Drosophila melanogaster: one gene and its partner. The protein of the gene in region 1 interacts with the protein of each later gene in a biochemical or structural test. Each region holds a gene or a part of one and is shown in the gene's direction. Other genes may lie near its edges.

Region 1 (5,212 bases):
ATGACGTAAATTGAAAGCCAAAGCTGCCACGGCAACGAAATCTATTTGCAATTCCCTCTGCTCGCCGAAACCCCCTTGTCAATGCCTTTCAACCGACAGGTGTGCAGTTCTGTAGTTCTGGGCAATCTGCGAGTGCATATTTGTCGACTCACTGAGTGCACTTCTGAGATACAGATACGCGTGCCGCTGCAGATACTTAGATACTTTGACTTGGACCTGCTTTAATGGCATTTTTCCCCGACAAAGGTCCTACATTTCCGCTTTAATGCATTTTCCAACCCATTTCATCGCTGCTTTCGGTAGCGTTTTTAGTTGTTTCAGCTTGGATTTCAGCTAACCGCTTTTATTTTGTATTTTGTTTGCCTTGCCAGCCAGCGTGTCCTTCTGTGTCCTGTGTGCACTTTGTGCTCAATTCTGCGTTTTCTATTTCTATTTTTAGCCCTGCACTGAAAGCCAGCTGGCTTGCAGGGGCGGCGCTTAAATGGGGGGTTCTTTCACGGAAAACGTGCCCTGCCAGCAATTGCATAAATTAATCAAAACTGCCACACAGTATAAATACTCAATCGACAATAGTCACACATACACACACACACACACATAGAAGCTTTCGCACATCACCATTTTCCGAAACCCCTTCGCCCACTTTTCCAATTTTATTGCATTGACGTCACAGCTGCAGTTGTCCGGAGCAATGGCTCCGATGATGATTATGTTTGTCTTCTGGCCAGGTAAGCACCTTCTTGACCTTTCCCAAGCTGTTTACACTTATCGCTGGTAAGGGCCCAAAGACGAGAGTTCTTGGCTTTCACTCTTCGGTCCTCCGTTCGATTGACGGGACGTCGTTGAGTGCTTTTTCCTGGGGGACAATTGCGATGGGGGCTAACTGCCGAACTAACTGAATCAGCGTGGATAAGTGCTGATTACCCAGGCATAGAGCAAATGGTTGCATGGCAACTTGTGTAAGATCTATAGGGACTAGTAGTAAGGATGCTTTGGACATGACATTCATTGTTATGAAATGGTTAAAAGCATTAAATTTGACTTTTAAAATGCGCACACATATATTAAGTACCTAGAAATTGACAGAAATTAATCATACAAAGTCTCAAATATTACACAATTGTTTAACACCGATTTACGCTAACAAAGGCACAATTTAATTGTGGTAAATAGTTCCACAAATGTCCGATTTTAAATAATTAAAAAAACATGCAATAAAGAGGCTATAAAATATTATTCACTTTGATATGTGCATAATTAACGTTTAATATTCGTGTGTTTACTCACACATATTTTATTTTCTTTTAGCTGCTTTACATGTGCAGAAATAATTTTAAATCAGAAGGGTATTTTTCTGAAACATTTCTCTTATGGTTTTTTTTTGATATGTATGAGCAGTATTATGTTGTATTTATATTACATTTTTTATTCAGTCTACACAAATATAATGAGATATGGATAAGGAGGTTTCTATAAGCTAGGAACAAATACATATTTGGAAAATTTATGAATGAAATTACGTCTTATGCACTATTGCATAAGTCCAAACTGTCGCCCGTTTGCATCACTCTGTGTCATTTTCTTGCCTTCAACTTTGTGTGTGCACTTTGTTGGCTTCCAAGTTGCTTCTTTTAGGGTCTTCACCTGACCGACCGGGTCAGTTTCTAGACGGGCTTGAAACCGTACGGTCTGAGTCAGCTTTTTCTCTTCACTAGCTATCCAATTCCCTGACATTATCTTTTAATGGCTGCGGCTGCTGTTGCCACACCGGGGGCCACTGTGCTCCCTCCCTCGGTGCCCAGTGCCGCTCCAGGGGCCAAGGCTCCAGCGGCTGGAGCTGGCAAAGGTCCAGGAAATCTACTGGAGATCACTGGCGAAGCAAATATCGTCAACTATATGAAGAATCGTCTAAGGAAGGGTGCGATGAAGCGAAAGGGTCTCGAAATGGTCAATGGTCATCGTTTCGGAGTTAGATTCTTTAAGAATCCAACCTACTGCGGTCATTGCAAGGATTTCATCTGGTGAGAAATTTCGTTTTCGGTTTTTGCTGGCATCTCAGCGTTCCCATCGTTAATTTAATTAGTGCCTTCGTTGCTGACACACTTTTCGTTGTTTTTTCTATATTTTTTTCGCTGTTCTTCCGTTTCGCATTGTTGCATTCGCGGATTCGTGCCGGGATTAGGGGCTTTGGCAAGCAAGGTTTTCAGTGCGAGGGTAGGTAGAAATGTTCACAATTTAAAAAATCTTTTAAAATATTTGCATACGCAGAATGCCGCTTCAACATTCACCAGAAGTGCTGTAAATTTGTGGTGTTCAAATGTCCTGGCAAGGACACGGACTTCGATGCCGACTGCGCTAAGGTGAAGCACGGCTGGATTTCCACCACCTACACCACACCGACATTCTGCGACGAGTGCGGACTGCTGCTCCATGGAGTCGCCCATCAGGGCGTCAAGTGCGAGAGTAAATTCCTGAATAAACTCGAGTCCTATTGCTTTCAAGCTATTAACCCAAATATTTCAGATTGCAACCTAAATGTGCATCACGCCTGCCAGGAGACAGTGCCACCGATGTGTGGTGCGGACATCAGCGAGGTGAGGGGTAAACTACTGCTATACGTCGAGCTTAAGGGCAATAACTTGAAAGTTGATAGTAAGTTATTACTTAAAGTTTATATGCCCATATAAAGATTAATGTTTCTTTCATACTGCAGTTAAGGAGGCAGCTAACCTCATTCCCATGGATACCAACGGGTTTAGCGATCCCTATATTGCAGTGCAAATGCATCCGGACCGTTCGGGGCGCACCAAAAAGAAGACCAAGACCATTCAGAAAAACCTCAATCCAGTGTTCAACGAGACTTTTACTTTGTAATAGTTGAAAACTAATCCTCTAAATAGACCTCTTTACCATATTTTCTTTAATCCTAGTGAGTTGCAGCCGCAGGACCGTGACAAGCGTTTGCTCATCGAGGTTTGGGATTGGGATCGAACTTCTCGCAATGATTTCATGGGATCGTTCTCGTTCAGCCTGGAGGAACTGCAAAAGGAGCCAGTTGATGGCTGGTATAAGTTTCTGTCGCAAGTGGAGGGTGAACATTATAACATACCCTGTGTGGATGCCTTTAATGATATAGCTCGCTTAAGGGATGAAGTTAGGGTAAGCGGATGTCCTCACCAAGTTTGCCACATATTTAATATTCCTGATTTTCAGCACGATCGTCGTCCGAATGAAAAGCGTCGCATGGACAACAAGGATATGCCGCATAATATGAGCAAACGCGATATGATTCGAGCTGCTGATTTCAACTTTGTTAAAGTTATTGGCAAGGGATCCTTTGGCAAAGTCCTGCTGGCCGAGCGTCGTGGCACGGATGAGCTGTATGCCGTGAAGGTCCTGCGAAAGGATGTCATTATCCAAACGGACGATATGGAGCTGCCAATGAATGAGAAGAAAATTCTAGCCCTATCCGGACGTCCTCCTTTCCTCGTCTCCATGCACTCATGTTTCCAGACTATGGACCGATTATTCTTCGTAATGGAGTACTGTAAGGGTGGAGATCTTATGTACCATATGCAGCAGTATGGAAGGTTCAAGGAGTCTGTGGCTATGTGAGTACAAATATTTATATTCAAGTACCATATTTTGAAATCTTCTATATATTATGTGCTTAGTTTTTACGCTGTGGAAGTGGCTATTGCTCTGTTTTTCCTCCACGAGCGTGATATTATCTATAGAGATCTAAAGCTGGACAACATTTTGCTGGATGGTGAGGGGCATGTAAAGCTGGTCGACTTTGGATTGAGCAAAGAGGGCGTTACCGAGCGGCAGACCACACGAACCTTTTGTGGTACTCCAAATTATATGGCTCCCGAAGTAAGTAAATCAGCCGAAAAAAATAAGTGTAAAAATAATCAGCTTAAAAATAATTTAAGATTGTTAGCTACGATCCGTATTCCATCGCCGCTGATTGGTGGTCTTTTGGTGTATTGCTTTTCGAATTCATGGCAGGTCAGGCTCCATTCGAAGGAGATGATGAAACTACTGTCTTTAGGAACATAAAGGACAAGAAGGCGGTGTTTCCAAAGCATTTCAGCGTGGAGGCCATGGATATAATAACGAGCGTAAGTGTTGGATTTCAAAAACATATGAATCTAATGGTATAGATTTGTATTCCAAAGTTCCTGACCAAAAAGCCCAACAATAGATTGGGTGCAGGCCGCTATGCCAGACAGGAGATTACCACGCATCCTTTCTTCCGGAATGTGGACTGGGATAAGGCAGAGGCATGCGAAATGGAGCCACCTATTAAGCCAATGATTGTAAGCTAAAACAGGAGCCCCACTAGGAAATCATTTTATTGTAATCTTGGGTACATTTCAGAAACATCGCAAGGATATAAGCAACTTTGATGATGCCTTTACCAAGGAGAAGACGGACTTAACTCCAACGGACAAGCTTTTTATGATGAATTTGGACCAGAACGATTTTATCGGATTTTCTTTCATGAATCCCGAGTTTATAACCATCATTTAAAATGGTCTAAAAAAAAGCTTTGAGAAAAGTTTATAGGCTTCTTCGAAAAACTAGGCTTTTGCAAGTTAATTTACCGAAATTTATTTATTGTATCCTTCGCTAAAAGCCATCTAAATGTTCATTAAAGCTTTAACGCTTAAAGCTCTGATATTTAGTGGGTGGATTTTTCTTTTGGCTTTCTCTCTTTTAAGAGACAGCTTTTCACCACTAACATTAACATTTCCTCTGAAGCCCAGATAGTAAAAGAAAACAGAGAAAGTTCCGGACCAGCAGCTGATTGCTTTCTCTTTCTCTCTTTTCGGAAGGGGAAATCCTTTTGTGGAAACTCACCACTCGAGAGCACCTGAATTAGTTACGCATACGCCGCGTGTGCTCCACTCAAGGAAACCCTGACAGGAAGTTTCAAGATTGCCAGTGGGCTAACTAGCCAACTTTGGTTAAAATCTAAACTCATCAACAGGCTTGAAAGTTTTTAGTTATGTATGTCGAATTTCAAAGTTGCTCACAAGGCCACAACTTATTGCCGTTCATGTGGGTATGATGAAAATTCTTCGAACATTTTTGCCCAAATCCATCTTGCGGGTCGAGCGTAAAATTCAACGGGGTGAAAAGCGGTTTAACGGGTCGCCAAATAGTTTTCCTGTGCCAGGGCAAATATGTCTTATGACACATTTTA
Region 2 (5,455 bases), 6.0 Mb from region 1:
ACTGCATGTAAGTACAACACGAGAACAAGTCAACAACGGATTCGCCTGCACACACACACACACACACACACACACAGACACGTGTGGCCACTTACATAAGGACGAGTGGGTGTATGTGTGTGAGTGTGTTTGCCTGTGTGACAGCCAACAGTGGAAAATCACTTCAGTTAACTAAATCCCCGCAACAACCATGCGCCGACTGCGCCGCAGCAGCACGACTTCTGCAGGAGCGGACAGAGAGAGAGAGAGAGAGAAGGAGAGAGAGAAACAGAGAGCGGAACAGCCGAAAAGGACACGGCACAAAGCAGCCATTGCAGGGGCGTGGCCTGCGGCCAGAGAGCCAATCGGAGGGCGAGGTCTTGCGAACAGCGACGTCGGCAGCGGCAGAGGCTGCAAGGGACGAGGAGAGAGCGGGGCGGGGCTGGGGGAAGAGGTGGAAAAGGGGGCGGCAGCGTTAAGCTCATTGCCATATTTTCGCTGTGCTCTCTTTTGAATTTACTTTACTAACAAAACATGACTGTTGGGAGGCAAAAAGGAAATTGTTTTATCAAATGGGTTTCCTTACGCTTTTTTATTATGAAATTAATTTCCAGCATCGTTTCGCAGTCGTTGACGTTCCACTCCCATCGCTCTCACTCCCACTCTCCGTTGGGTTCGCCATTTTCCAGTTTAAACCCCATTTTGCGCCCAGCTCCTTTGAGCATGTGTTTACTCTAGTTTTCCTTTGGAGCTGCCTTAGCCATTCCACTTTCGTTTCATTCCGTTCGGGCAATGTTCGGGAAATGTTTGCATAGTCATATTCTCCCTTCCCTGCCTCCAGTTTCCTTTTTTCATACCGCCTTTCCCCCCGACAAAGGCATTAAAATGCAAATCTTGATTATGAATTTAAGCTCGGCAGACAAATTAAATTTATTTGCCACTCGAAAGATAAAAATCTTGAAAGTTTTATTTGATTACCGCTTGTGTCTGGTTCAGAAGTTCCCCAGCAATCCTTACCAATTCGCATTGAAATTGTTGCCTACTTTTTGGGGCTATATTATTGATACTGAATATATACAGTTCATATTCAATATCATATCATTGTCACCTTACATTTTATATTTATTTACTCTTTATTCTTCGGTATTTTGTGCGCATTTTATTATTGTTTTTTTATTAAGGATATTATATGTTTTAAAAATGTCCCCCACAAATTGTTGTTATTTGCAGTGCCGATATAGAAGCTCTCGCCCAGGTAAAAGTGTGTGAGACATATGTTATTCAGTTGTAAGTGCAATGAAAGAAAAATATAAAATCGATGGGCATTGCTGGTCAACACTTGGTGGGCTTCTCCTGGCGGAGTGTTGAGTTCAGCACGGGCCAAATCGTACCAACAAATTAATAACTTGATAGGGCCAATAAAGGTACATGGGTATCCATTTTCCCCTAGCCTTCACATCCGCGATGGTAACCCATATAATGGCCGTCTTCGGGGAGCTGGGTGTTTTGTGAGTGGTGTCATAACAGACAGTGAAAGTTACTCAATTCATTGGAGGCACCTCCTCCGAATCGATAGCACTGTACTGCAAGGTAATATTTTAATGGGTAATCTCAAGATACGAAACATTTTCATTATTATTAGTAGAATTTTTCTTTTACTCAAGCATTCTTTAGAAGGAAAGTTTGTGAAAGTGTCTTAGCATATATGTATGAACTACATGCATCTGGTACTCTAAGATCAACCCTGCTGACCAGTGTAATCGATACGAAAATCATACTCAAAATAGAATGGCCACTAAGTCAGTTAGCAAGAATGTTCGCCCGCTAATTGTAAAATCAGTTTAGGCGCACTTTTCAATGGACTCAAATCGGGCGCAGCCAACGCGGAATATTCACAAATAATAATTAAGTGAAAACCCATAACAATAAATATTCGATATTACATTTGAGCTTAATTCGGTGCGCTTAATGTCCGGTCAGTGAGTCGCGAGTTTTTGGCTAGGATTACGGAGCAGTCGATCTCAAGCAGCGAGGATGGTTCAGTTCCTGGGCAAACAGGGCACCGCGGGTGGTCAGTGTCCATTGAGTGGTTTCATGACCAACTGCTAATCAAATTTGCAGCTAGTCCCGAAAGAACTTGACCTTCCAAAGGTCACTCAATACTCGTTTTGTGTTTTATGAATCAAATAAAACAAAATTTGAACAAAAGCCAATTCAATTGACTTTATTGATTCTTAAGAATCCTGTGAGAAATATGTTTATGTAATGAACTTAACCTTAACATTTATATAAACGATTATACAATATTGGTGAAAATTATTTTGCGAAAGGATACCAAGTGGGATAAGGACCCCAATAAATATTTATTAGTAATAGCTTCACATTTGTCTTAGTCGTACTTTAACAATACGTTGTAAATAGTTTTTATTTCATTTGGAATGCACAATCCTTTCCCAGAGCTCATTCACATGGTGACCCTGGACAAGACGGGCAAGAAGTCCTTCGGCATCTGCATAGTGCGCGGCGAGGTGAAGGATTCGCCCAACACCAAGACCACCGGCATCTTCATCAAGGGCATTGTGCCCGACAGTCCCGCGCATCTGTGTGGTCGCCTAAAGGTTGGCGATCGGATCCTCTCGCTCAACGGAAAGGATGTGCGCAACTCCACCGAACAGGCGGTCATCGATCTCATCAAGGAGGCGGACTTCAAGATCGAACTGGAGATTCAGACCTTCGACAAGAGCGATGAGCAGCAGGCCAAGTCAGATCCGCGGAGCAATGGCTACATGCAGGCCAAGAACAAGTTCAACCAGGAGCAGACCACCAACAACAATGCGTCCGGAGGTCAGGGAATGGGGCAAGGTCAGGGTCAGGGTCAGGGAATGGCTGGCATGAACCGGCAGCAATCGATGCAGAAGCGGAATACCACATTCACGGCCTCGATGCGTCAGAAGCATAGTAACTACGCCGACGAGGATGACGAGGACACCCGGGACATGACCGGTCGCATTCGCACGGAGGCGGGTTATGAGGTGGGTTAACCCAAGGTCGCCACCCATCGCTCTACTAACTTATAAGTACCTTAGATCGATCGAGCATCCGCCGGTAATTGCAAACTCAACAAGCAGGAAAAGGATCGCGACAAGGAGCAGGAAGATGAATTTGGCTACACGATGGGTAAGACTCAATTGAAGCCATTAAAAAATGTCAGTCACACAGCACGTGAATGCCATTCCCAGCTAAGATCAACAAGCGGTACAACATGATGAAGGATCTGCGCAGGATCGAGGTCCAGAGGGACGCCAGCAAGCCACTGGGACTCGCACTCGCTGGCCACAAGGACCGCCAGAAGATGGCCTGCTTTGTTGCCGGTGTGGATCCCAACGGAGCATTGGGTAGCGTGGACATCAAACCGGGCGACGAGATCGTCGAGGTCAACGGCAATGTGCTGAAGAATCGCTGCCACTTGAACGCTTCCGCCGTGTTCAAGAACGTGGATGGGGATAAGCTCGTGATGATCACCTCGCGACGCAAGCCCAACGATGAGGGCATGTGCGTCAAGCCCATCAAGAAGTTCCCCACCGCGTCTGATGAGGTCCGTACTTTTCACTTCTTTTCGGATGGATCCTGCGATAAAATGTCCTTCCCTTCTATTCCAGACTAAGTTTATCTTCGACCAGTTTCCCAAGGCGCGCACGGTGCAGGTGCGCAAGGAGGGTTTCCTGGGCATCATGGTCATCTATGGCAAGCACGCTGAGGTGGGAAGTGGCATTTTCATCTCGGATCTGAGAGAGGGATCGAATGCCGAGTTGGCGGGCGTGAAAGTGGGCGACATGCTGCTGGCCGTTAATCAGGATGTAACACTGGAATCCAACTACGATGATGTGAGTCGTCAGGAAGCCCTCCAACCACTTAGTTTAAAACCATTTCATATCCACTTCAGGCTACTGGACTGCTTAAACGTGCCGAGGGCGTAGTGACCATGATTCTATTGACTCTCAAGAGCGAGGAGGCGATAAAGGCTGAGAAGGCGGCGGAAGAGAAAAAGAAGGAGGGTAGGTATTGCGTCCAAGCAAGTTCAAAACTGACATCTTCATCCCGATAACTCACAGAGGCCAAGAAAGAGGAGGAAAAGCCACAGGAACCCGCCACAGCCGAGATCAAGCCGAACAAAAAGATACTCATTGAGTTGAAGGTGGAAAAGAAGCCAATGGGCGTCATCGTCTGCGGCGGCAAGAACAACCATGTCACGGTGGGCTATCTGAACTTTCTGTTTCTGCAAGAAGTACCTTAAACAACTTTTCCCTGACAGACTGGCTGTGTAATCACCCACGTTTATCCGGAGGGACAAGTGGCAGCCGACAAGCGCCTCAAGATCTTTGACCACATTTGCGATATAAATGGTACGCCAATCCACGTGGGATCCATGACGACACTGAAGGTCCATCAGTTATTCCACACCACATACGAGAAAGCGGTCACCCTAACGGTCTTCCGCGCTGATCCTCCGGAGCTGGAAAAGTTTAACGTTGACCTTATGAAAAAAGCAGGCAAGGAGCTGGGCCTGTCGCTTTCTCCCAACGAAATTGGATGTACCATCGCGGACTTGGTGAGTGCACATACACCACTGGTATACAGTGGTAGGAAGGCTCAACCCTAAGTAACTACTTTCTCGACAGATTCAAGGACAATACCCGGAGATAGACAGCAAACTGCAGCGCGGCGATATTATCACCAAATTCAATGGCGATGCCTTGGAGGGTCTTCCGTTCCAGGTGTGCTACGCCTTGTTCAAGGGAGCCAACGGCAAGGTATCGATGGAAGTGACACGACCCAAGCCCACTCTACGTACGGAGGCACCCAAGGCCTAGAGACGATCCTCATTCTCCTCCTCCGGTAGCGAAGCAGTGCAGCAATTCAATAAAAGAACCAACAATTCGAATTCAAAACAATCTGTTTTCCGTTGTGGGTTTATTGAAAAGGAAACTCCTTAGGCTATAGAGCTTGCATTGGATGCAATACGGGGCCACAGATCGGCGCATTCCTTGGCCACCGGTCCAGTGATGGCCGAGCCCTTCATTTCGCCCTTGTTGTTTACTATTACCCCGGCATTGTCCTCAAAGTATATAAACACCCCGTCCCTCCTCCTGAACGGTTTGCGCTGCCGAATAACCACGGCAGGCATGACCTGGAAACAAATGAAAATAGTAGTTAGCAAAGTTGCTCGGCAGTGTGCAAACCTCCTGCTGCATCGGTTAGTTATGCAAAAGTGCGTTGTTATAGGTGGGGGAATTATGAGAAGTGCAGTGAAACCGTTTTATAAACCTTCTTCACTACAATTTTAAATTCTTATCAATAAACAAAAATATTAAAAACGTGAGTTTGGTGCGATAAGCTATCTTAGCCGGCACAAAACATGTGGGGAAAATTTATTGGAAGCGTAAGGAGAAACCTTCCACGTCTAATACAAATCTAT

What was found. Proteins that work in one complex are often made in the same cells at the same time.
Region 2: of the proteins of inaC (region 1) and inaD, one has a biochemical effect on the other in vitro, tested with the Drosophila melanogaster proteins (3 studies listed by BioGRID, with this or other methods).

Annotation. Positions count from the first base shown.
Region 1 is NT_033778.4:16,896,902-16,902,113, forward strand, and holds inaC (inactivation no afterpotential C), read left to right. Parts: upstream 1-1,633; 5' UTR 1,634-1,743; coding exon 1,744-2,021; intron 2,022-2,182; coding exon 2,183-2,214; intron 2,215-2,268; coding exon 2,269-2,463; intron 2,464-2,523; coding exon 2,524-2,652; intron 2,653-2,713; coding exon 2,714-2,870; intron 2,871-2,930; coding exon 2,931-3,159; intron 3,160-3,213; coding exon 3,214-3,611; intron 3,612-3,674; coding exon 3,675-3,876; intron 3,877-3,935; coding exon 3,936-4,124; intron 4,125-4,181; coding exon 4,182-4,322; intron 4,323-4,383; coding exon 4,384-4,536; 3' UTR 4,537-4,674; downstream 4,675-5,212. UniProt on the Drosophila melanogaster protein: This is a calcium-activated, phospholipid-dependent, serine- and threonine-specific enzyme. This isozyme is a negative regulator of the visual transduction cascade and has been shown to be required for photoreceptor cell inactivation and light adaptation.
Region 2 is NT_033778.4:22,855,157-22,860,611, reverse strand, and holds inaD (inactivation no afterpotential D), read left to right. Parts: upstream 1-1,817; 5' UTR 1,818-2,013; coding exon 2,014-2,050; intron 2,051-2,400; coding exon 2,401-3,011; intron 3,012-3,065; coding exon 3,066-3,156; intron 3,157-3,218; coding exon 3,219-3,574; intron 3,575-3,638; coding exon 3,639-3,863; intron 3,864-3,922; coding exon 3,923-4,034; intron 4,035-4,091; coding exon 4,092-4,231; intron 4,232-4,291; coding exon 4,292-4,588; intron 4,589-4,658; coding exon 4,659-4,850; 3' UTR 4,851-4,924; downstream 4,925-5,455. Other genes in the region: RpL23 (ribosomal protein L23), read right to left, coding at 4,970-5,167. UniProt on the Drosophila melanogaster protein: Involved in the negative feedback regulation of the light-activated signaling cascade in photoreceptors through a calcium-mediated process.